Macaca mulatta: one gene and its partners. The protein of the gene in region 4 interacts with the protein of the main gene of each other region in a pairwise test. Links are inferred from orthologs where the notes say so. Each region holds a gene or a part of one and is shown on either strand. Other genes may lie near its edges.

Region 1 (4,030 bases), on a different chromosome or scaffold from region 4:
TTATGGAGAAGAAGATTTTTGGAAGTTCTTTTTCTCTATCATCTTTTTCGTGATGTCATTCAAAGTTGAAACATGTAAAGCATTTACAACAATATTCGGCACATAGGGTTACGTGTATGTGCCATTATTATTGTTGTTGTTGTTAATAATAAATGAGAGGCCACATATGAACCCGCTTCCTCCCTCCAGACAAGAATGGTCCCAGGGGGCACAAGAAGGGCATATGGGGAAGGAGAAAGATGTCCATTTGCAGAGAAAAGAGAGGGAAAAAGGCAGGAACATATTTTGGAAGATGACTGGGAGAAAGGTAGTGCTCAGTGTCACAAGTGTGGGAAGTATGGTTCATAGCTGGTTAGGCTAAGAAGGCAAAGAGGTAGATCCTGGTCAGGCTCAAGGCCTGTTGGTCCAACAAGCAATGCCTGTTGGTCCCCTGTAATTGGTCTAGTCACCTCTCACCAGCCTGTCTCTTCCTTGTGTGGACTCTGCTCACTGCCCAGTCCTCTGCTCTGACTTTAAAAGGCAGATGGTTCCAAGGACGGGTGAACAGGACTGTAACAGCACGTCCCTATGCGCGGTCCCTGAAGAAGCTGCCCTGCCCTGCCCTGCCCAGGGGAGTTGGCTGGAGGGATTGCCTGTTTATGGGTGTGCTTGGCAGTCGCCAAGGGGCATGGGCATCCGGGCTATGCGATACCCTGCCAGCACATGGCCACACCTGTCACCCTCAGCCCTGGGACTCGGTGTTTCTATAACAGTTGGGCACTTACGAGTCTTCTGGGCGTCCAGTGGGCGTGAATGAGGGAGGGGATCTCTGGAGCAAGCAGCAGGGAAAGAAGAGGGAGCAGAGATATGGGAGGTTGGGGTGTTGGCTCTTTGGTTCACATGCAGACTGCAAGATCTTTGGGGACTCAGCCCTAGTGTCCTTGAAGGACAGGTTTCAAGGAACACCAAAGTCTGGTAAAAGAGGGAATAATCCTGAAAACCAGGTGGGACATCACACTGACATAACCCTGCTCCACTGCCACTGTGGATGGGCGTCTGTAAACCTGGGAAGGGATCTTACATTGCTGAGAGTCAGTCCCATATTTTATAGAGGAAGAAGCAGAGGCTGAGATGATCTTTGTCCTCGCTGGATGGTCATTTGAGGGTAATGGGCAATGGTGACTAGATCCCTGGCCGCCTGGTCTCCACGTAGCACCCTTTCCTCTAAAGTGCTGTATTTGCTAAGAATCCAGAAGCCTCGGCATTTGCAGAATAGAGGCTAGTCATGCAACTACCAGGTACTCCTGAAAAGGAGCTTACCTTCGACATGTGGTTCGGTCACATGGTAGGAAATCGAGGAATACGCTTAAATTACAGGGTGAGGAAATGCTTTGTAACTCTGACAGGGTCTGAGCTAACGGAGGATGCATAATGGACTGACGTCCTGACAAAAGGGCGGGCGGAGGCCAGGCACGGTGGCTCACGCCTGTAATCCTAGCACTTCGGGAGGCCAAGGCAGGTGGATCACCTGAGGTCAGGGGTTCAAGACCAGCCTGGTCAACATGCCAAAACCCCGTCTGTACTGAAAGTATAAAACTTAGATGGGTGTGGCGGCGCATGCCTGTAATCCCAGCTACTGGGGAAGCCAAGGCAGGAGAATCACTTGAGTCCAGGAGGCGGAGGTTGCAGTGAGCCAAGATTGTACCACTGCATTCCAGCCTGGGCGACAGGGCAAAACTCTGTCTCAAAAAAAAAAAAAAAAAAAAAAAAAAAAGGTAGGGGCAGGTGGCTCACCCACAGCCACGTCCTGCTTCACAGGCATTCAACCTGTGCAGCTTCTCCAGGCCCAGGGCCCACAAGGGTCCATGCTTGGATTCATGTGCTGCTATCGCTGCCTTGAAATCCTTGGTAATTTGGAGCAAGGAACCCTGCATTTTCATTTTGCACAGGACCCTGCATATTCCGTCGCCTGTCCTCTCTCCTCCCCTGCCTTGAGGCCAGGGACAAACCTGCCAGCTCCATGGTTTCCCCCAGCCTGAGGACACAGAGCCACCCAGCATGTCTTTGCAGGGAGAGAGTGACCAGATGGAGCCCAGAAGTCCCTGGGCTGGTAGAGCTGCGGTTCCCGTCTTGAGCCTGCCCAGCTCTCTGTTCTGGGCGAAAAGCCCCAGGGTCCAGCCAGACAGAAATAGCTGGGACAAACGCCCTCGTCTTACAACCCAGCCCCAGCCACCAGCACAGCACATGCAATTCAGATCTTCTTCCCTGGGCAGAAAGGGCTGGGCGGCTGCCCTATCTCTAGCCTGAGAAACCTGCCTTCCTTGGCATGGGCAAATTTGTCCGGGGGACGACGGGGAAGGGCGGGAGGTGGGGATCGGGACGGAGGGTGGGTACGTTACCCCCGGGCAGGGTGATGGGCCCGCAGGTCTTGCTGTCGTCCATGGGGATGCGCTTGGTACAAATCCGCCAGAGGCCGAAGTGGGCCGCCTCGCAGGTGGTGTTGTGGTGCTCCATGTGGGGGCTCAGCACAGCCCAGTGGTCGGTTACCACGGCCGTCATGGCCAGCACGATGCCTGCCAGGATGCAGAAGAGGGTCACGCGGACCTTCAGCGTTTTGGTCTGGGACATGGTGGTCGCCGAGGCGTGGGTGCCCTGGGCAGGGTCCGGCGGCTGCGTCTCCTCCGGCAGGTGACAGCCGAGCTGGGGGGTGGCGGTGGTTGTCGAGTTGGGAGTGGCCACTAAGTTTAGTGTGCCTGGCTGAGCCAGAGTGGGCTGGCCCTGGGGCTGAGGGACGCGGGATGTGCTGAGCAGCTGCCCAGACGCGTCAGGGGCCTGAGGAAGGCTGCTATTAATGCCCCTCTCCAGGCGTGGCACCGGGGACGGCTTCTGCTCGGGTTTCAGCGCTGTCTGCCCCTCTGGGAGCCAGAAATACCCCAGTGGGGGGCGGGGCAAGGAGAGAAGGCTCTGGATGGTGGATTGAGGCCTCTATGGAGTAGCAGCTCAGGGTGCCTGAGTTGGGAGGGGGCGAGGGGTGGGCAGCAGGGCCCCAGGGGTGGAGATCTGTCTGCTCTGGGCTGATGGGAAAGGGCACCCCAGGCCAGGGGAGGAGACCAGGAGCTGCAGGCTGCACGGCCGTCCCGGGCTCCCACATTGTAAGCCTACTACCGGCGGGGCAGTGAGTAGGTTCTCATCCTGGGATCTGGGGGGCCTAGGATTCTGTCTAGGGACATCCCAGGGACCCTGTCCGGGGCCTGTGGAGTCCACCTCTCAGGCAAGCGTTTTAGCCACAAACCCCACAGCATCCCGCAAACCACAGGAAGATTTTAGGTGGTTCCCAGGCCTGGCCTTACCCAACTCTGATCCCTCCACGAGAACATTACTTCCTTTTCAATTCTCTTTCCATCCCCAAAACTGGGTCCAGAGCAGAGCTCCGTTCGAGGTCAGTGTCATTACTGCCCGCAAAGTGTCCTCTGAAACAAAGCGAGAACGGCCTGAAGAGGACGAGGAATCCTGCTGGACTTGGTTGTTCTGTTTTCAGGGCACTGTGTTTGGTTTTGCCTTCTACTAACAGCAGGTGATAACGATTTTCCAGTTACGTTTTAATTTGCAAAATATGTGTGTGAGTGAAAAAGAACGAATAGGTTGATTTATAGGGGATCATCAGGAGCTCATGGGTGTGCGGATATGGCAGAGAACACAGAAAGCCTGGGATCGACCACCCTCCGAGGGTCCTGTGCGCCTGCCTGGCCCCCAGGCCTGTCCCCGAGGCTGCGGCCTCTACGTCTCTCCTGGGTTGTGCCATCTCTCCCTTCTCAGCTCACTGGGTGGCCCTTTTTGGGTGTAGCCGAGAGGCTGATGCATGATCAGGAATAGCCTCCTGAGCTGGGTGGGGCCTTGAACTTCAAAATTCTTGCCTCAGATTGACACGATTTACAGAGACTCTGCCCATGTGGACAGAAACATTTCGGCCTCCAGCCTTGGAATCACAGAAAGTTCATGATGATGATAATAGGAGCAGTGGCTCATCTTCAGTGAGTGCTTACTATCTAAC
Region 2 (4,227 bases), on a different chromosome or scaffold from region 4:
TCACTGCAGTATTCAATATATCACAGGGGACATTCGACACTTTATTATAAAACAGACTTTGTGATAGATGATTTTGCCCAATTTTATGCTATTGTAAGTGTTTTGGGCACCTTTAAGGTAGGCTAGTCTAAGCTAGGATGTTCAGCAGGTTAGGTGTATATTTAATGCATTTTGACTCATGATATTTTTAACTTAAGGTGGATTTATTGGGATGTAATCTTATTTTAAGTCAAGGAGCACCCACGCTCCATAATAATTAAATTTGATATCTTTTATTTTAACAGTTATGACTTGCCTTATAGGTGGCTATATCTAGGTATCTCACCCCTGAGAAAATACGAGTTCTTTGAGGACCCTGTTCATTTCTTGTACCAATTCGAACACATTAAAGGGATTTAATATGGATTTGATGAAGCGAGGGAGTGTCCAGAGAAGACCAGAGCACCTGTTCTCTCTACCAGAACAAAACTGTGATTAAGGAGGTGAATGTTCGTTTATCTGTTCTTTCAGGTAAGGGTGGAGGATAGGGAAGGAGAACATGGGAGCCTGGGCAGGGGAGGGTCAGAGCTGCATCTATAGAGAGACACCAGTTTGTAATTACTCTGATGATATATTAGCTTCCCAGGGCTGCTCTAATAAAGTACCACAAACTGGATGGCTTAAACAACAGAAATTTATTGTCTTACAGTTTTGGTGGCTAGAAGTCTAAAGTCAAGGTGTCAGCAGAGCCAGTTCTTGCTGAGGACTCACTCTTTGGCTTGTAGATGGCCGTCTTCTCTCTCTGTCCTTCTGATCATCTTTCTCTATTCATGTCTGTGTTCAGATTTCCTCTTCTTATAAGAACACCAGCCATATTGATTAGTGACCACCCTAACAAACTCATTTTAACTTGATAGGCTCTGTAATAACCATATCTCCATATAAGGCCCCATTCTGAGGTACTGAAGGTTAGGACTCCAACATATGAATTTTGGAGGGGACACAATTCAGCCTGTAGCAGATGGGTTATCATGCTGGGCTTTAGTGCTTTTCAAGACCCACCCTGTGCCAGTATGCCCACTCACCAACTGCATCTGTCAAAATGTAGGCTCCTTAAAGAAATGAAAGCATTAAAATCACATGTGGTGATTGCCATTTATCCTCTTGTTGACAAACTAGTTCATTTCCCTGAGAGAGTGTTTTGTGTGGTCTGAAGCACCTGCCAGTCTATCCGTGCTGTACCCTCCCAAGACAAAAACACAGGAAGCCGAGCCGTAGGTGACCACTGGCATCCACTGCCTTCATGATTTCCTCTTTGGTTTCTTCGGTTTTGTTCCCTTGCTTCACTCTGTGACTTGTCTGGACATTCACTCTTTGACCCTTGTGGCTAGTCCCTCCCCTTCTTCTTTATTGCCTGGAGTTATCTCCCTATTCCCATAACTCTAATCACTTCTTTCACGTTCTCCTTCAGTGAAGGATGAGGAAATTGAAAGCAGAGTATGCACGTTTTATTAGGAGATTCAAACGGCATCCTACTGCATTAGCCTCAAAAGTCCTAAAATATAAAGACATCCATCTGACAGATCACTGAGGGGAGGACTTATTTTTCTGTTTTAGAAGTTTCTGATTAAACTCAAGAAGAAAAGAAGCTAGTTGTTTCTCACCCAGGAGTGGATTTGTGGTTTGGCTTCACCATGGCTTCTTGCCGTGCCTGGAACATTAGGGTGCTGGTGGCTGTCGTGTGTGGGCTACTGACTGGCATCATTTTGGGACTGGGCATCTGGAGAATTGTGATCAGGATCCAAAGAGGTAATGTCCTGCTATGTTTAACTCAGAGTAAGAGAAGGCATGGGACCTCTGTCCCTGCCACCTGAGGCACAAGTACTGGGAGGTGCCTTGTCCAGTCTGAGGCATCCCAGCAAGATGCCATTTATGGGATATAAAAGACCAAGTCAGTTAAGCCTAGCAGATGGTTGAACAGAAATGAATAGGTGTGGGTGTGAATGGGGAGGGGGAAGAGTGACATAATTGAATTGGCGTCTTTATGCTCTTTTAACTCCAGACTGAATTGGTAGAAGAGTAATAATTAAAACAATTAGTAACACATGTTTAGGTCTGTTGGGTTAAATTAAGGAAAGGGTAAATCGTTATGAACAAGGACACACACATGCAGCAAACACGTACACACACGTGCATAACACACACACAATCAAACATGCACAGAATAGAATTTCACTTTAAGAGAGAAGTTAAAGAAACTCATCACCAAGGTTTAAGTGAAATGATCTCATGGTTTGCACACAAATTTCCCACTTTCCAGATGTAGGAAATTAATCAACAATTTAAAAATCATTTTTAAATGACTTTCCTGATTATTCAACAAATATTTATTAGTTCCCCACTGTGTGCCAGAGCTGGCCTGGAAAAGGAGGACGTGGGAGGGGAAGTATTGAGTAAAACAATGATGTTAAAGCAAAGCCTGCTGTAACTCAGAACAGAAAATTTCAATGATCCTAATGCTGGATCCCTTGGGCTGTAGAGCTTCTCCATAAAGGAATTCAATATTGGATGGGCTGCATACTCCCTTTTGTAAAAATCAGAGAAAGCTTCTAATGAAACAATAAATAAGGGTAAGTGTCATGCACGTCCATGTGAAGAGACCACCAAACAGGCTTTGTGTGAGCAACATGGTTGTTTATTTCACCTGGGTGCAGGCAGGCTGAGTCCGAAAAGAGAGTCAGTCTTCAGCTGCTAAGCCGAGAAGATCTGGGAAGGAGTCAGTCAGAGAGTCTTGGCCCAGAGCTCCAGGGGCTCTGGGAGTGGCTGCCAGGTGAGTTGAACGGTCCGATTTCCAGTGGGGTCCCGCACAGATGGGACACGGCTTAGGAGGAATCCTGGGCTGCGGGCATTCCTTGGCCCAGTGGCCAGATTTCCGGCACTTGTAGCAAGCTCCTGGGGGAGGAGGTTCTGGAGGAACCCCTGGCAGCTGCGGTTCAGGTGTTTGGAGTTGTGTGCTGGAGATGTGGCTGGGGTTTGTCTCACAGTGGAGGCAAGGAATTGCAACTCAGAAATAAGTTGCTACTTGGCTGCCTCTACTATATTATTGTACACCTTGAAGGCGAGGTTCATTAAGTCCTGTTGTGGGGTTTGAGGGCTGGAATTTAATTTTTGGGGTTTTATTTAATGTCAGGAGCAGATTGGGTAATAAAATAAAATGCATATTGAAAATAAGATGGCCTTCTGACCTTTCAGGGTCTAAGGCTGAAAAGTGTCTCAGGGTTGCTGCTAAACGGGCCATGAACTGGGCCTCTAAGTTTTTCATATTTGATGAAAAAGAGCCTAAATGCTAACTGATTTGGGAGAGGTCGGATAAAGAAAAAGGAACATTAACCTTGACTATGCCTTTAGCTCTAGCCACTTTTAAGAGGAAATTGCTGGGCAGGTCGGGGAGGGCTAGTCGCGGAACGAAACTGTAAGCCAGACCCGTGTGAGGAGGGGAGGTGATAAAAGGACTATAGGGTGCGGGAGCAGAGACTGAGGAAAAATTGGGACCTAGCTTGGCCTGGCGAGGAGGGGAGAGGTCAGATGGGTCTGTAGAAAGGGATGATTTTTAGAAAGACTCACCGATGCTTGGGGTTGGGGCTGAGGGGACAGGTGGGAGGAAAAGAAGGAAGATTTGGGGCGAGTTGCATTGGGAACAGAGACTAGGGAGGGACCGATGTGTAAAAGAATGCCTGGACGTCAGGCACCTCAGACCGTTTGCCCATTTTACAACAATTATTTAGATCTTGCAGGATGGAAAAATCGAAAGTGCTGTTTTCTGGCTATTTGGAACTACTGTCGAGTTTGTATTGGGGTTAAGCAGCATTGTAGAAGAAAATAAGGCGTTTAGGTTTTAGATCAGGTGTGAGTTGAAGAGGTTTAAGTTCTTGAGAACATAGGTTATGGAGAACGAAGAATGGAGGGTGGAAGGTTGCCTGCGGTGAAGGAGGCAAGCCCAGAGAAAAGAGAGAGTGGAGACACAGAGAGAAGGAGTTCGGAGGTTCTTGCCCTCCAGAAAAGCAGGAAAGGGGTCGGGGAGCAGAAATAAGGTATTGGGGTGCCAAAATAAGAGATCAGGGTGCAAAAATAAGAGGGGGCACAAAAATAAGACGTCAGGGCGCAAAAATAAGAGGGGGCAAAATAAGAGATCGGGGTTCTTGCCCCTCCCCTAGAAAAGCAGAGAAGGGGTAGAGACAGGGAGAGAAG
Region 3 (3,500 bases), on a different chromosome or scaffold from region 4:
GACTCATAAGAAAGCAGTTATAATTATTCCTGTAATGACACATCCTTTGAAATGCTCAGATCTGAGAACATTTTGCTTGCATTGCATCAGTCATCATCATTACAGGGAGAAACGCAGAGAGCTGGAAATAGCTCATGTGCAAGCTACAGGCAAGGAGTCATAAGGAAAGGAGCAAATTGACAGCAAGTCAGTGAAGGAAACGGGGGAGCTTCAAATACCCAGAACCTGCACACAGTTCTGCAGCCTCCGTCTCCCCGCCGCCTCCGTCTCCCCGCCGCCTCCGTCTCCCCGCCCTCCGTCTCCCCGCAGCCTCCGTCTCCCCGCAGCCTCCGTCTTCCCGGCCTCCGTCTCCCTGCCCTGCTGCCCCGCTTCAAAGCCAGCTTCTGCTGCCAAAGGACTCTTGGGGTTGAAATGCCTGTTGCACAGTTACACATCAGCCGACAGTCCTTCTCTGATTTAATGAACTTCATCGATGAAAAATACCCTCAACAGGCCAGGTGCAGTGGCTCAGGCCTGTAATCCCAGCACTTTGGGAGGCTGAGGCGGATGGATCACCTGAGGTCAGGAGTTTGAGACCAGCCTGGCCAACATGGCAAAACCCCATCTCTACTAAAAATACAAAAATTAGCCAGGAGTTGTGGCAGGCACCTGTAATCTCAGCTACTCGGGAGATTGAGGCAGGAGAATCACTTGAACCGGGAGGGAGAGGTTGCAGTGAACCGAGGTCGCGTCAGTACATTCCAGCCTGGGTGACAGAGTGAGACTCCATCTCAAAACAAAACAAAACAAAACAAAAACCCTCAACAGAATGTCAAAAAAAAAAGAAAGAAAACAAAAAAAAGAAACAGAAACCTGCGAAACCATCATCTTTCTGCTTTTGATAATAACAGTAAGGAGCATTGACTGAGCATTTACTTTGTGTCAGACACTCCCCTAAGTACTCTCTCGATATTATCTCATGTAATTCTCACAAAAATTCATGAACTAGGAATGAGTATTATTCCCACTTACTAGACAAGGAAGCTAAGGCATAAATTGGACACAGTTATACTTAGCATGGCCAGAGTCAGGATCTGAACCTGGCTGGGTGACCCTGGGGTCCCCAGCAGGCCGCTCCCTGTTAAGGTTTCCAAGCGCACTCTTGGGCTGGTAGAGCAGCCAGCAAGCTGAGGGCAGGGGGAGGGGTGTCACAGAGCCATCTCCCCGAAGAATCTCGGAGACACTAAGTGTTGGGCAAGGTTTGGTTTGGTTTTGTGTCTTTCATGGTTCGCTTGGAGGCTTTAATTTCCCACTTTACACAGCCCCCTCCATGTCCCCCACTTTACACAGCCCCCTCCATGTCCCCCACTTTACACAGCCCCCTCCGCGTTGTTTCTGTTCATTTGACAAGTATCTACTGAGCCGACACTCTGAGGCCCGTGGGTGATTCTGAGGAGAACCAGACACGGTGCCTACCCTGGGAGATGCATAATCAGGTGGGAGTGGGGTGCAAAATCAATCCAACAAACTGGAATAGCAGGCGGAGAGTGCCCTGGTGGAGGTGCAGAGGCTCCGAGGAAAGCCTCACAGCAATACGGACAGGCAGGTGTCCCCTGCAGGATGCGGGTTCACATGGGCTTGGGAGAGAAGAGGAGAGACCGCCCACAGAGGGGCCCGTGGGCACAGGACTCTTGCTTCATGATTGTGTGGACTTAGGAGGCTCAGAATGACAACCCCAGCTGCTGTGTGTTCCTCTAACTCCAGGTCCCTTCTCCAGCCACCCAGCCCCAAGATGGTGATGCTGCTGCTGCTGCTTTCCGCACTGGCTGGCCTTTTCGGTGCAGCAGAGGGACAAGAATTTCGTCTTGGGAAGTGCACCTCGCCTCCAGTGCAGGAGAATTTTGACCCGAATAAGGTAAAAGGTGAACCTCCCATTTGTTTTGCTGCCTCTGATGTGAACAAGCATTCTACAAGATTCAATTTAATTATGCTGCTTTAATTTCCACTGCACACCTTGGGACACATATTTATCTTATTTGGGGTTTCCCCAAAGCGGACAATCTGCTGAGACAAAGACTGGGGGCAGAGAGGTTCGGGGTGATCCCAGGACGCACAAGAGCAGGTGGGAAAGTGAGTCGGAGTCAGCACAGAAGCAATAAAGGGAGCATCCATGAGCTGTCACCCTGGGCCGTCAGGGTCAGTCACACTGGGCACCCTCTGAGGACAGGTGGAGCATGCTCCTCCGATTGTCCATCAGCTGCTGCCCGCAGGCCATGGGAGCGTCTGTGGCGCTAGCCAAGCCCCCTGGCAGAGGACAGACACAGCGCCTCATCCCCATCACCTCCCCAAAGCCTTGGTGACCAACTCCCTATTCAGGGTGGATGAAGAAAGTTCCATGCACTCTGGAGTCCTAGCTCCCCACAGCAAACACATCTGACTTTGCACAAGATTTGAAGATGACTTGTAGAATCATGCACTGTTTCAGAAGAAAGTTACTTCCCATCATCCCCCTTTATTTTTTTCTTTTTCTTTTTTTGTTTTTTCCTGAGGCAGAGTCTTGCTCTCTCGCCCAGGCTGGAGTGCAGTGGCGTGATCTCGGCTCACTGGGACTACAGCCGCCCGCCACCACGCCCGGCTAAATTTTTGTGTTTTTAGTAGAGACAGGGTTTCACTAAGTTAGCCAGGATGGTCTCCATCTCCTGACCTCGTGATCCACCCGCCTCAGCCACCCAAAGTGCTGGGATTACAGGTGTGAGCCACCACGCCCGGCCAATTTTTTGTATTTTTAGTACAGACGGAGTTTCATCATGTTGACCAGGATGGTCTCGACCTCCTGACCTTGTGATCCTTCTGTCTTGGCCTCCCAAAGTGCTGGGATTACAGGTGTGAGCCACCGCACCCAGCCCCATCATCCCCCCCCCCCCTTTTTTTTTTTTTACAGAGTCTAGAATGTCACAGCAATATTGGCTGAAGGGGACACTGAGAAGAGCGCTTTGCTCAGCATTCACCCCCCCCGCCCACACATCCCATCCTAGTCACGGATTCTCATTTCAATTAATCTCTTGCCCAGTTGCCCCTGGGAACAATGAGGCCCATTTTTGTCTGGCTTCCCCAGGACAGGGCTCAACTTCTGCACAACAGTGCAGAAAAGGTTGCAGGTCCCCAGAGAACCACAGGTTTTGCTCTGCTTGTTGTCTCTGCAGTATTTCGGAAGATGGTACGAAATTGAGAAGATCCCAACAACCTTTGAGAAGGGACGCTGCATCCAGGCCAACTACTCACTAAAGGAAAATGGAAAGATCAAAGTGTTAAACCAGGAGTTGAGGTGAGTGGCTGTGGCTATCTGGGGCCAGGCCTGTGGAGTGCGGACCCGGAGTGACCAGGTGTCCGGCAGCCTGGGTCAGGGAGGATGGGATCCTTGCCAGGTCTGGACTGCCTGCTCCTAGCAGGAATTGAGAGGAAAGCATTTGTCAGGCAAGGATGGCAAGGACTAGGATCCACTTATGCGTTTCCATGACCAC
Region 4 (4,193 bases):
CACCGGACCCAGAAGTATGGCTGGCTTCACCTCTCACTCCAAGGAACCACATGGCTGAAGACACATTCCTCCTGGGTGGCACGATCTTCTGTGAATGCCAGGCTAGCGATTCCAGCAGGCTAACGATTCCAGCGATTCCTCTGATACCTGGATCCCACATGAAAACTTGGACTTGGTGCCTACATCTAGACTGCTGTTTCGTCTCATTTATTTTCTAGACAAACTGTGCTGCTCCACAGCGTTAGCATCAATATGTCTTTTGTTTCGTGGAGCTTCCTAGGGATTTAAATTCAAACCGTATCATAAAATACAATAAAGGTTTATTTACAGCACATTGGTTTCATTTGACGTTCCTGTACCAGACTACCGTGGCAATCGGCTAAAGTTTTGTCAACAAGTTTGCTGCTGGGATTTTTCTCATTTGGTTCAGTTTACTACCGCCTATCATAAGTGATGCAGATGGGTTTCGTTTCTAACATGTGAACGTGACAACTGTTTTGGTTTGGATCCATCATTAATCAAAACTGAAGAAGGTTATTGGGTTCGATGGTGTAGATTTGGACTTTTATTTCTAGCTTCTGTGTGCTTTGTCATATTTCCCCTTGCTTCCTAGACGAGATGTGTTTCCTTATCTGATTTTGCATCACTGGAGACAACTCAGGAACCAGGAGAGGCTGGATTGGATACCACAAGGAATGCAGCCCTGCCAACAGAGGGACGGATAGAATTAGAGCAAACGGACACATCCCCCCAGCCTGTTCTCCACAGGGCAGATTTTATTAGTATATTTCTAACATATGGGCCTCGTTTCAGTCTTCAAAAGTTTTTTTTCTAGCGCAAACTAGACGCGCTCTGAGCCAAAATTAGCGTCCGCGAACCCCACCCCATTCGCCTCCAACGGACCTAGCTCGCCTTTCCGCCCACAAACAGCCGTTACTACAGTTCCCAGCAAGCACCGCGCAGGGCCGCAAAGGGCCAGGCCCTCGGCGAATGCCCCGCCCCGCAGAAGGCATGCCGGGAGTTGTAGTGAGTGGGCGCTTCCCCACTGCTTCTTGTCCCTTCCACTGGGCATTCCCACTTGGAAGACTGTTAAGCGCTGCCAGAGCAGTTTCTCTAGTTCCGTATTCGCAGCTCAAGGTGACAGAGGACTGCGCCGCCAGCCCTGCGCTGCGCATCGCGTCGGCCCCGCGGACCTTTGCCCCGCCTCCCTCCACACCCGTTCCCTTGACAGCTGGGCTGCGCACGGGGCCGCGGCAAGCCGCGAGCGCGCAGGCGCAGCAGCCCCGCGCCGCGCTAGGCCGGCCTGGAGGGCGGGACGAGCGCTAGTGGCTCCTGGCCGCCGGGGCGCGCACGTAGGCACGCAGAGGCCGTCACGTGGGGCGCCGAGGATCGCAGTGCGCGTGGCCGTGGCGGCTGGTGTGGGGTTGAGTCAGTTGTGAGACCCGGAGCTGGTGACCCAGCGGGTGGCCCACCGAACCGGCGACACAGCGACAGGCGTCAGGGCTCGGGAGCTGCGAGCCTGGCCTCGTCTTAGAGCTCGGCCGAGCCGCCGTCGACCCCCGCCCCCAGTCAGCAAACCGCCGCCGCGGGCGCGCCCCCGCTCTGCGCTGTCTCTCCGATGGCGTCCGCCTCAGGGGCCATGGCGAAGCACGAGCAGATCCTGGTCCTCGACCCGCCCACAGACCTCAAATTCAAAGGTAGGCAGGACGGGGACACCCCAGGGCTGGCTGGGGCGCGCGGAGGGCTGGCGGGCGGCGGGGGGCGCGGAGGACAACTCGGCCGCCCCGGCCAGAGGGAGCGCCCCCTCCCCCACGCCCCGGCGCCTGCCCTCTCCCGGCTGCTGCCTCGCCGCCGCCTCGGCCGGCCTGCCCCTTGCTCCGGCCCGCTTCGTCCCCTCCCGCCCGCCCGCGCTGCGGTGCGCGCGCCGGCCGGGGCGAGGCGGACGGGAGCCGGGCCCTGGCGCGGCCGCCGCCGCCGCCATCTTGCGGTCCCGCGGGGGCGCCTCCTGGGTGTCCGGTCCCGCCCGAGCCGCCGTCCGCCCGGGCCCGCGTCCCTGGTCCCCGAGGCCGACGGCGTGCTCCGGCGGGGCGTGGGCGGGTGGGCATCGGCGGGCGTGCGCTCTGGGCTGCGGCGGGGAGTGGGCTCTGGAGGTGGCGCAAGCTGCGTCCGTCGCCCGCTCCCGGCTGTCAGCGGCGCGGGGAGGCCAGGGCGCGGCGCGGGACCCCTCGGGAGTGAGACCGCCCCTCGGCCCCTGCCCCGGCCCGGGCAGAGCTGGGAGCAGCCGGCCCTCGGGCTCCGCGGAGCGCGTCGTTTCTCACCTTTCCGCCCGGCTTAGAACTCGGCCGTCAGGTGTAGGGCGCGCCGGGGAGGCGGAGAAGCCCTGGAGGTGCCTGGCGAGGGCTGCCCGGTGCTGTTGGCACGGACCCAGGCGCGTGCGGGCAGCAGCGATGCGTCAGCTGCGAGCGGAGAGTTGTAGGTTCATAGTAAGCGGGGCTTCCTGCCTTCCACGACATTTCAGTGTGCCACCCGCGTGCTTTTATTTAGCCCTTCGGTTGCGCTCCTCTGCTGAGAAACCTTCAGTGCGTGTGACTTTTGCTTTTACGTTTGCGGTTGCCGACAGATCCTGAGAGGCCTGATAAGGTGTGACCCAGCTCTGGAGCTTTGTAGGTTTTTATTTTGTAGCGCTGCCTGTGGTAAGTTTTTAGTCTGACTTGGTGATCCTGGAAGAATCCCAGGGGCTGTTTGGTGCCTTTCCTTAGTCGATATGTGTTGTACTTTAGGAAAGAGAGTAAAACTGTACAGATTTTTTTTTTTCTTCTGTATTCTTAAGGAATACTGAAAGAGTGTGAACATCTGATAGAAAGTAGGTTTCTTCCTATCTTAAGTGTAAAGTGAGGCCCGTTTTGGAAGTCTATGTCTTGTATTTCAGTTGTTGAATGAGAACAATTTTTGTGAGGTGCATAGCAATTCTAGTGCTAAAAGAAAAAGTTAAATCCTTTATTGTTGTGTGAGGTTGAGTCCAAGAGAAGACCAACTACATTATTTCCATAGGAAAAACTTCAGTTTTAGGAATTTAAAATATATTCTGGAATTATGAGATTAATATTGCGTAACTACATTGCAAGCTTTTTAGTGCATTTACAAATTTCTTTGAATAGAAGTAAGTGTAAGCGAGCTACTTGTTGGGTAAGGATTTGGTTTTAAGACAAGGTGCAGTGAATGTATTTTATTGCAAGTTTATGTAAGTTGTGTGATTTTTTTACGTAGTTTTAGCTGGGGGAAAACCTTTGAGGAATTATGAAAAGTCCTAACTCAGCCATTATCTCGAGATAATTTAATGTAAGCCTGTATGATGTGTTTTTTAATATTTCGTTTTTATCTTTTGATTGGCCGTGTTTACAGTGAACATTTCCTCTACTGGATAACTGTGTAAGTTGCCATGAGGGACTTATAAGTATGTGTAAGTTGCCATTAGGACAGTTTTAGGCCAGGAAATGTCCACAGTTTGAAGTTTTTTCTCCTTAGGGAAGTTGTTATGTTGCTATAGTAAGAGACTAATAATAGTGGAGAAGCAGGTTTAAAAAAACAAGCAAAAACCCTACACAGTGACTTACTCTCATATTTCCTTTTTTGGGGGTATTGGAGAATTACAGCTATGATTATAGAACACGTTGTTCTTGTGTTGCCAGTAAAAATGATAAGACTAGCCAGGGAAACAGAAAAGGTATATAGATGGTATAACAGAGACTCAACCCTGTCTGAGGAAAGAAGCCTTCTCTACGTGCCCCATCCCTCCCTTAGGAAATTTTTAAGGAAAAGGCTCGTTTTTCATTTCAGGGGAGGTTTAGGCCAAGAGAGTGGTTGAGTAAACACACTGCTGTGAGAGAATGCCTGGTACTTAAATGCCCAATAGTTTGTTGTGTGTTTCAGTTTAAAGACGGAGATAATGGGGGGGATTGGGAGGTGACATTTGGTGTCTGGTTCCTTAATATTATTTTTTTAGTCAAAGGTAAATTGTTTGCTTGATGGAAACCTTTGTGTATTTAAGTGCACAGCTCAACACTGAGGAGACTCATTTAGAATCTACAGTCTACTTGTGCTTAGTTTGTGATAGAAAAAAATCGTTTAACTGACTTATCCTAAATCATTCAAAACTTTCTTTTTAAGTGAAGGACTTTAAAAAGACAGTTTTG
Region 5 (4,051 bases), on a different chromosome or scaffold from region 4:
GCAAAGGTCAGTGCATGAGAAGAATGGGAAAAAGATATGTACCCTGCCCAGCCCACCTTCCCCCTTGGCTTCCTTGGCTCCGGTTGCTGATTCCTCCACGAGGGTGGACTCTCCCAGCCATGGCCTGGTGACCAGCTCCCTCTGCATCCCTTCTCCAGCCCAGCTGTCCCAAACCCCCCAATCACAACCTCCTCGGCCCAGTACTTACAAGGTAAGAAGGGGAGGCCGTGTTTCCTCTGATAATTTGTTCTCTTTCATTGTCTGTTTCAGCTGCTCTGTCTGAATATTGCACCTGCCACATCCTGTCTCTTTTTCCCACCCGTTTTATCCTGTAAATCCTCCTGTCTGTTTCTTTTCTCCTGTACTCTAGATCTCTGACTCTTTGTCTCTGACTTCCCTGCAGACAAGTGTGGCCACACAATGCGATCCAGAAGAGATCATCGTGCTCTCAGACTCTGATTAGCTGCCTCCCCTTCTCCCTGCCTCCAGAATGTTTTGGGATAGCATGTGGAGGAATGTGGGAAGCAGATGACTGAGGAAGGGATGGACTAAGCTAATCCCCTTTTGGTGGTGTTTCTTTAAAAAAAAAAAAAAAGCTTAAGTTTTACACAGAAACATTAATAATAAAGTTCTTTTCTTACTGTATCACTGTCTTTTTCTTGTCCTTCTACTGTTACAGATTGGCATTAGCTGTCCCCTTGCTCAGGGTTAGCCCAATATCCCCGGGGTAGTCCCGATCTGTCCTTTCTAGCCTGGTCTTTTGTTGTTGTTGTCTCGCTGTGTCGCCCAGGCCAGAGTGCAGTGGTGCGATCACAGCTCACTGCAGCCTGGACCTCCCAGTCTCAAGTGATAATGCCCCAGTCTCCCGAGTAGCCGGGACTACAGGCGCGTGCCACCATACCTGGCTAATTTTTTGTTTTTGTTGTTTGTATTTTTTGTAGAGACAGGGTTTCGCCATGTTGTTCAGGCTGTACTTTTTTTTTTTTTTTAAGTGCTTCAGCCGCCTTAACGCACTTTACTTTTTCACTTCGTGCAGTAGGAGTGAAAAAGCCAATGAGGGGCCGACTCAAGGTTATTTGGCCAATCCAGGCCCGGAGAAAGGGGGCGGGGCTTCAGGGGGCTGTAAGGAGCTAGGAAAAGGGCGATTAGATCCCACCAACCAGCTAATGGTCACAGCTCAGAGGCGGAGCCTGGGGAACGATACCTGAACCCATCGCCAATGGGAAAAGACAGGCTTATAGCTTTAAAGGGGAATAAATGCTTCGGCCGAACCAAGTCCTGAGTTCCCAGCGGAGGAGGGGGAATCTGATCTTTTAAGGTGGAATGAGGCGACGGTTCTTTAAAGGCAAAGTGGCCGAGTCGGCCGAGTATTGCCCAGCGGCACGGGCGGGGTGGCCGGCTGTGCCTTTAAAGGCAGAGGGGCGGGAGGCGGAGCGGAGGCGGAGGGCGGAGGAAGTCGGCGCAAGATGGCGGCGGGAGGGGCCCAGGCTGCTGCTCTGGCCGCCGAGTGAGGGGCGGGGGGGGCCCGGGGGCGCGCGGCCCGGTAAGCGGGGACGCGCGAGGTTGGGGGGCGCCTTCCGAGTGGGAGAAGTGGCCGAGGTAGCGCCTGGGGCGGAGCGGGGGGGGCGGGGTCCGTTGTGGGCGGAGGTAGACAAGGGGCGGGGTCGAAAGGCCCGATAGTGGGCGGGGCACGGGGGCGGGCCTGGAAAGGGGCGGGGCTAGAGAGAAGCTGGGGTGAAGGGGGCGTGGTCGACGAGAGAGCTTGCGGGGCATAGCATGGAGGGGAGATGGAGCAAGAGTTGGTTTTCAGTAGCGGAGCTGCCCTGCCCCCTCCCAAAAAGTGGGTGCAAAACACCAAAAAGGTAGATTTTGGAATGTCAGACTCCCAGGTAAATGGGAAATAGGGTGTAATTCCGAAGGAAGCCACTCCACCCGCTAAGAGCACCTTATTTCTCTAACCTCCAAGGAAAGGGCACAGGATTTGTCAGATACCTGTGTTTGCTGGCGGTGCCAATTGCTGTGTGACCTTGGATAATCTTGTAATCTTTCTGAGCCTCAGTTTCCTCATCTGTCAAATGGGGTTGAGAGGAATACCTACCTCACTGTTGTGGGGAGTTACACAGATAATGGGTGTGAACATATTTTTGAGTTGTAATGGGCTGTGTCGTTATAAGATGTTATCATTATTCTTTTCTCTTTTTCTTCCCAGAGACCCCCCCGGCCGCCCTCTTCCTTTCTTTGTTCCTGTGGCTGGGGGGGTATCCCCTCCCTCCACAACATGGAGCCATCTCCTCTGTCTCCCAGTGGGGCAGCACTTCCCCTGCCGCTGTCGCTGGCTCCGCCCCCACTACCCCTGCCAGCAGCTGCTGTGGTACATGTGTCCTTCCCTGAGGTGACCAGTGCCCTCCTGGAGTCCCTCAATCAGCAGCGTCTGCAGGGCCAGCTCTGCGATGTGTCTATCCGAGTGCAGGGCCGTGAGTTCCGGGCTCATCGGGCTGTCCTGGCTGCCTCCTCCCCTTACTTCCATGATCAGGTCCTACTCAAGGGCATGACCTCCATCTCACTGCCCAGTGTCATGGACCCAGGCGCCTTTGAGACTGTCCTAGCCTCCGCTTACACTGGCCGCCTCAGCATGGCTGCTGCTGACATTGTCAACTTCCTCACAGTGGGGTCTGTGCTCCAAATGTGGCACATTGTGGACAAGTGCACTGAACTACTCCGAGAAGGCCGGGCCTCAGCTACCACCACCATCACTACTGCTGCAGCCACCTCTGTCACTGTCCCTGGTGCTGGGGTCCCATCCGGGAGTGGGGGCACTGTGGCCCCTGCTACCATGGGCTCTGCACGCTCCCATGCTTCCAGCCGGGCCAGTGAGAATCAATCTCCCAGCAGCAGCAACTACTTCAGCCCCAGGGAGTCCACTGATTTCTCATCTTCCTCTCAAGAGGCATTTGCAGCTTCTGCAGTGGGCAGTGGGGAGCGTCGAGGAGGTGGCCCTGTGTTCCCAGCCCCTGTCGTTGGCAGTGGGGGGGCCACATCTGGAAAGCTGCTGCTGGAGGCAGATGAGCTGTGCGATGATGGTGGGGATGGGAGGGGGGCAGTGGTTCCTGGGACTGGGGTCCGGAGACCCACCTACACACCCCCTAGCATCGTGCCACAGAAACACTGGGTATACGTGAAGCGAGGTGGTAATTGCCCAGCACCAGCACCGCTGGTTCCCCAAGACCCAGATCTGGAGGAGGAAGAGGAAGAGGAAGACCTGGTGTTGACCTGTGAGGATGATGAAGATGAAGAGCTAGGGGGTAGCTCCAGGGTTCCAGTAGGGGGAGGGCCTGAGGCTACCCTCAGCATAAGTGATGTCCGTACCCTGAGTGAGCCCCCAGACAAGGGAGAGGAGCAGGTTAACTTCTGTGAGTCCTCCAATGACTTTGGCCCATACGAGGGTGGGGGTCCTGGGGCAGGTCTTGATGACTCAGGGGGGCCAACTCCCTCTTCCTATGCACCCTCCCACCCTCCTCGACCACTTCTTCCCTTGGACATGCAGGGCAACCAGATCTTGGTCTTCCCGTCGTCTTCATCCTCCTCCTCACAGGCTCCTGGCCAACCACCAGGGAACCAAGCAGAACACGGGGCAGTGACTGGGGGGGGCACGTCGGTGGGGAGCCTGGGTGTGCCGGGTAGCGTTGGGGGGGTCCCTGGAGGGACTGGCAGCGGGGACGGGAATAAGATCTTTCTGTGCCATTGTGGGAAGGCCTTCTCCCACAAGAGCATGCGGGACCGGCACGTGAACATGCATCTCAATCTGCGGCCGTTTGACTGCCCCGTGTGCAACAAAAAGTTCAAGATGAAGCACCATCTGACTGAGCACATGAAGACGCACACAGGTCTCAAGCCCTACGAGTGCGGAGTCTGCGCCAAGAAGTTCATGTGGCGAGACAGCTTCATGCGCCACCGAGGACACTGTGAGCGCCGGCACCGCCTGGGTGGGGGCGGAGCCGGACCTGGGCCTGGGACGCCCACGGGGCCTTCCTTGCCTTCTAAGAGAGAGTCT
Region 6 (4,127 bases), on a different chromosome or scaffold from region 4:
GCCCTTTACAAAAAATGTTTGCCAACCCCTGCTCTAATGTCTCCACTAGCTCTGAGTCTCCTCACCTCACGCACAAATACCCTAGCCTACTGATTTCCCACTCTTTCCCCTGCCTCTAATCCTTCAGACATCTGGCTGCTATATAACCTCTCTACAAGAGTATCGACCCTGTCACTTGCCCCATCAGTATCCTCAGTGGCTCCTCCAAAACCGACAGTGAAAGGTTCAAACCTATCCTATGAGACTCAAGACAACAGACAAGGGCAAGAGAGAACACGTCAAACGAGTCGAGTGCGTGAGACTTCAGAGGTCACTTTTTCACACCAGAATTTTAAGGTGTGAGTCGTCCCAAGTACAAAAAACAGAATCTGCAAATAAGAGTGAATGACGAATAGAAAGACGACCTCAACCTGTCCACTTCCCTACGGCCGCAGAGATTATGATTCAAGGAATAACGAGACTCTAAATCCTTTAAAATTCTACAAGAGCAGCCTTGGCCAAACCCAGCGGGGAGTGGCTGCTCGGTGCCAGGGCGAGGAGCACGTAGACTGCCGATGCCAGAGAAGCCCGGTGCGGGCTCCGTGCTTTCTCTCCGTTCCAGGAAGACCCAAGCTCGTCGCCAAAACTTCTCGCCGCTTCCCGGTCTGCGCGCCCAAGCTGCCAGTTTCCCGAAAAACGCCACAGCGCCCTGGGAAAAAGCAGATGCCCCTCATGGGTTTGCGCCTTGCAGCTCAACTATGCCCCAGCCTCCCACAAGCCACCTGTCCTCCGCCAGGCGTCCCGCCCGGATCTGCCCCCGCCGTAGCCGCCAAGGCGCACGTGAAGCTCCCGGGCGGAGCGAGCGCAAGAAGGCGGGAGTTTGCGGACGCGAACCCAGGCCTGGGAAGCGAAGCGATTCCGGGGCGCACGCGCAGAGCCAGGGAACTGGAGGGGCGTGCCTCCCGTAGGGGTTACGGAGCAAGAGGAGAGCGCGTGGCGCTCAGGAGCCCGCGCACGCGCTGTGGTCTCGCCCCGCCCAAGAGCGTCCGAGCGGCCGCCGTAGCATCTTCTCTTCAGACCCGCCCCCCTCGTCTACTTAACCTAGCGGAGGCTTGCAGCTAGAGCAGGGAAGTGTGGGGCGAGGTGGGCGGGGCGTCGCACGCGTGCGCGGCCAGCGAAAGAAGGGAGGCGGCGGGAGAGATCCGAGACAACGTTACCCCGTCAACACCCAATCAGGAGCGGCCCTGACCCCGCCCCCTCTCCTCACGTTATTGGCTGGGAGGCCCCCAGATGGGCGGGGCCGGCCGTGGGGTTGGGGGGGGCAGGGGGCGGGGAGGAGGAGGAAGGCGCTGGCGGGCAGTGATGGCGGCGGGTGATGGGGACGTGAAGCTAGGCACCCTGGGGAGTGGCAGCGAGAGCAGCAGCGACGGCGGCAGCGAGAGTCCGGGCGGCGCGGGAGCGGCAGCGGAAGGGGGCGGCTGGGCGGCGGCGGCGTTGGCGCTTCTGACGGGGGGCGGGGAGATGCTGCTGAACGTGGCGCTGGTGGCGCTGGTGCTGCTGGGGGCCTACCGGCTGTGGGTGCGCTGGGGGCGGCGGGGTCTGGGGACCGGGGCCGGGGCGGGCGAGGAGAGCCCCGCTGCCTCTCTGCCTCGCATGAAGAAGCGGGACTTCAGTTTGGAGCAGCTGCGCCAGTACGACGGGTCCCGCAACCCGCGCATCCTGCTCGCGGTTAATGGGAAAGTCTTCGACGTGACCAAAGGCAGCAAGTTCTACGGCCCGGGTGAGGAGTTGGAAGGGGAGGGGAAGGACCCACTACAGCTCAAGCACGACCCCCTTCGGACGGGGAGGCCTCTGGGCACCGGGTTAGTTTGCCCAGCCTTCTCGTCGCCTGGACCCCCGCGCCTCGGCCGCCGCACCTGGGACGGCCCGCCCCGCCCCTACGCATACGCCGCCCCCCCGCAGCTGCGGGCACCTCCAGCTCTTCTCCCGAAACCAGGGTCCCCGCTGGCGCCCCAGCGACCAGCTCTCAGCATTCATCTTTCTTCCATGCCATTTCTCCTCGCAGCCTTTTTTTTTTTTTTTTTTTTGGCTGGATTTTTCAAAATCGTTACATTTGTCACCGATCAGCGCTGGCCCTTAACCTCTTTTGAGTCTCCTAATTCCTGGGGTGGTTGGGGCACCAGGGAAGGGAGATTTCTGAAGTTGGGACCTAAACTAAAGTTTTACGCTCTGTAATTCACAGCTTGCTTTTCCTTGCCCCCGCCCCACGCTCCTTTTTTTTTTTTTTTTTGGCCACTGATCTCCTTTTTCCCTCGCTGTATTGCTCTCCGTAAGGCCACGTTTAGGGGCATGTAAAGTCCCAACCCTCCAGTCTCTGAAGTCCGGACGAATAAGCAACACCTCGGACTCTTTTTAAACCAGTTTTAGTTCGGAGTTGCTTTCCATGATTAACAAGGTATGTGGGATGAGGACAGACCAGAATGCAGAGCTTATTAAAGACTGGTAAGGATATTCGCCCTGAGTTTTGGGGGTGGAGCTCCTATACCCAGCAGGCATGTCTCTCGTTTCTTTTTTTTTTTTTCTGCTTTTCAAGTACACGTTGATAATGACTTGTGTTTTCACTTAGCAGAACTGAGGAGAAAAAACTTAGAAGAGTCGTAGATTCATACCCCCATGTGCCAGTTATGCAAGTTAAAGATTTTTAGAAATTTGTTTTCAGAGAACTTTGTGTAGGGTAGTTGATTTAGAAGCCCTTGTTTTACAGTGTGGTTATAGCATACATTTTGGATTATGTTAATAAACTCCAGACTCATGGAACCTGTTGGTATATCATAGAGTTGAGCAACACTGTACATCCTGGTTGTGCACTGATTAGTACTAAGCTTTAAAAAAAGAAAAGTGGTGACTACAATAAGAATAAATAATTAAATTAGAGACCTAAAGTGACCTGGTATTGGAGAGAGTACATCCAAGCCTTAAAGTCACAGGGTTGGCAGTCTGGAAATAAGCTGGTTTTCTCCTTAATTTAATCTCTAAGTGTTTGAGATTTATTGACACTTAAAAATATATACTTCTGATTTCAGTGGTTGGTAGCTGGAAGATATTTTAGAAGTGCTTTGGTTTGTAGTTTGTTCATTGGACTAGAGATAAGAAATAGGAGATTTTTGTTGTTGAATTACGTAATTTATTTCTTAGTTGTTTGTACTTCTGTGTATATATACACATTTAATCCAACCAAGTGAATACATAGCTTACAGAGTTTTTGCTTCTAGTTATATAAATGTGAACACAAGGTGTCTACTGAAATCTTATATCAGCTGAAATGGTTAATACATTTTTGTTTACTTAAGCACATGTGGGACAAGAGAGCAGGGCCAAAGTACAGTATTTAAACAGGCCAAGTGAAGTAAACTTTTTTTAAATCAAGGATTTACACAGCATTTTATACCTAGTTCAAGCTTTTTCCCCATTAGTATTAAAATGTGTGTTAAGTGATTAGAAATCCTGTACAGGTTTAAATTTTTAATATAGACCTTACCCAGCTGAAAGATCAGCTTTTGTACCCTCTGTCTGAACTGCCACTGAAGAAAACAAAGTATTAGTACAAAGAATTGTATTAGTCCTCACACATTATGCCTTGGCAGTATCTGAAAATAGTTAGGAGAGACAGTCATAGAGACAGTTTGGCAGCCTCCAGAGGCAAATGTTTGTTCTGTGATAGAAATTAAAAATTAAAGCCAGGCGCGGTGGCTCACGCCTGTAATCCCAGCGCTTTGGGAGGCCGAGGCGGGTGGATCACCAGAGGTCAGGAGTTCGAAACCAGCCTGGCCAACATGGCAAAACCTCGTCTCTACTAAAAATACGAGAAAATCAGCCAGGTGTGGTGGCCGGTGCCCGTAATACCAGCTACTCGGGAGGCGGAGACAGGGAGAATTGCTGGAACTCAGGAGGTAGGGGTTGCAGTGAGCCGACATTGCCCCATTGCACTCCAGCCTGGGCGACAGAGAGACTCTGTATTAAAAAAAATAATAAAAATTAAGAGTCATAGGTGGTAGATTGCTTTTTTATGGTAAGTGCACTGAGGGAGGCTCTTGAGATTACAATGGAGAAGTCAGTTTTAGATTAGTTTCTGCCAGTTCCTAGGTTCT

Evidence for each region.
Region 1: the proteins of VAPA (region 4) and CACNG1 interact in binary tests that used the Homo sapiens proteins (3 or more experiments, as listed by UniProt). The two-hybrid records come from large-scale screens. The link is inferred for Macaca mulatta from reciprocal best matches to the Homo sapiens genes VAPA and CACNG1.
Region 2: the proteins of VAPA (region 4) and ADGRG7 interact in binary tests that used the Homo sapiens proteins (3 or more experiments, as listed by UniProt). The two-hybrid records come from large-scale screens. The link is inferred for Macaca mulatta from reciprocal best matches to the Homo sapiens genes VAPA and ADGRG7.
Region 3: the proteins of VAPA (region 4) and APOD interact in binary tests that used the Homo sapiens proteins (3 or more experiments, as listed by UniProt). The two-hybrid records come from large-scale screens. The link is inferred for Macaca mulatta from reciprocal best matches to the Homo sapiens genes VAPA and APOD.
Region 5: the proteins of VAPA (region 4) and ZBTB22 interact in binary tests that used the Homo sapiens proteins (3 or more experiments, as listed by UniProt). The two-hybrid records come from large-scale screens. The link is inferred for Macaca mulatta from reciprocal best matches to the Homo sapiens genes VAPA and ZBTB22.
Region 6: the proteins of VAPA (region 4) and PGRMC2 interact in binary tests that used the Homo sapiens proteins (3 or more experiments, as listed by UniProt). The link is inferred for Macaca mulatta from reciprocal best matches to the Homo sapiens genes VAPA and PGRMC2.

Annotation. Positions count from the first base shown.
Region 1 is NC_133421.1:76,795,624-76,799,653, reverse strand, and holds the start of CACNG1 (voltage-dependent calcium channel gamma-1 subunit), read right to left. Parts: upstream 2,801-4,030; 5' UTR 2,608-2,800; coding exon 2,379-2,607; intron 1-2,378. UniProt on the Homo sapiens protein: Regulatory subunit of the voltage-gated calcium channel that gives rise to L-type calcium currents in skeletal muscle. Regulates channel inactivation kinetics.
Region 2 is NC_133407.1:182,983,380-182,987,606, reverse strand, and holds the start of ADGRG7 (adhesion G-protein coupled receptor G7), read left to right. Parts: upstream 1-1,427; 5' UTR 1,428-1,673; coding exon 1,674-1,788; intron 1,789-4,227. UniProt on the Homo sapiens protein: Orphan receptor.
Region 3 is NC_133407.1:3,201,951-3,205,450, forward strand, and holds part of APOD (apolipoprotein D), read left to right. Parts: intron 1-1,743; 5' UTR 1,744-1,771; coding exon 1,772-1,894; intron 1,895-3,182; coding exon 3,183-3,304; intron 3,305-3,500. UniProt on the Homo sapiens protein: APOD occurs in the macromolecular complex with lecithin-cholesterol acyltransferase. It is probably involved in the transport and binding of bilin. Appears to be able to transport a variety of ligands in a number of different contexts.
Region 4 is NC_133423.1:80,874,930-80,879,122, forward strand, and holds the start of VAPA (vesicle-associated membrane protein-associated protein A), read left to right. Parts: upstream 1-1,393; 5' UTR 1,394-1,618; coding exon of another isoform or gene 1,619-1,697; intron 1,698-1,930; exon of another isoform or gene 1,931-2,693; intron 2,694-4,193. Other genes in the region: uncharacterized protein LOC114673840, read right to left, coding at 658-703, 904-1,175. UniProt on the Homo sapiens protein: Endoplasmic reticulum (ER)-anchored protein that mediates the formation of contact sites between the ER and endosomes via interaction with FFAT motif-containing proteins such as STARD3 or WDR44.
Region 5 is NC_133409.1:148,971,354-148,975,404, forward strand, and holds the start of ZBTB22 (zinc finger and BTB domain-containing protein 22), read left to right. Parts: upstream 1-1,251; 5' UTR 1,252-1,318; intron 1,319-1,451; exon of another isoform or gene 1,452-1,543; intron 1,544-2,209; 5' UTR 2,210-2,278; coding exon 2,279-4,051. Other genes in the region: DAXX (death domain-associated protein 6), read left to right, coding at 1-211, 404-463. UniProt on the Homo sapiens protein: May be involved in transcriptional regulation.
Region 6 is NC_133410.1:137,052,446-137,056,572, reverse strand, and holds the start of PGRMC2 (membrane-associated progesterone receptor component 2), read left to right. Parts: upstream 1-1,327; 5' UTR 1,328-1,341; coding exon 1,342-1,759; intron 1,760-4,127. UniProt on the Homo sapiens protein: Required for the maintenance of uterine histoarchitecture and normal female reproductive lifespan. May serve as a universal non-classical progesterone receptor in the uterus.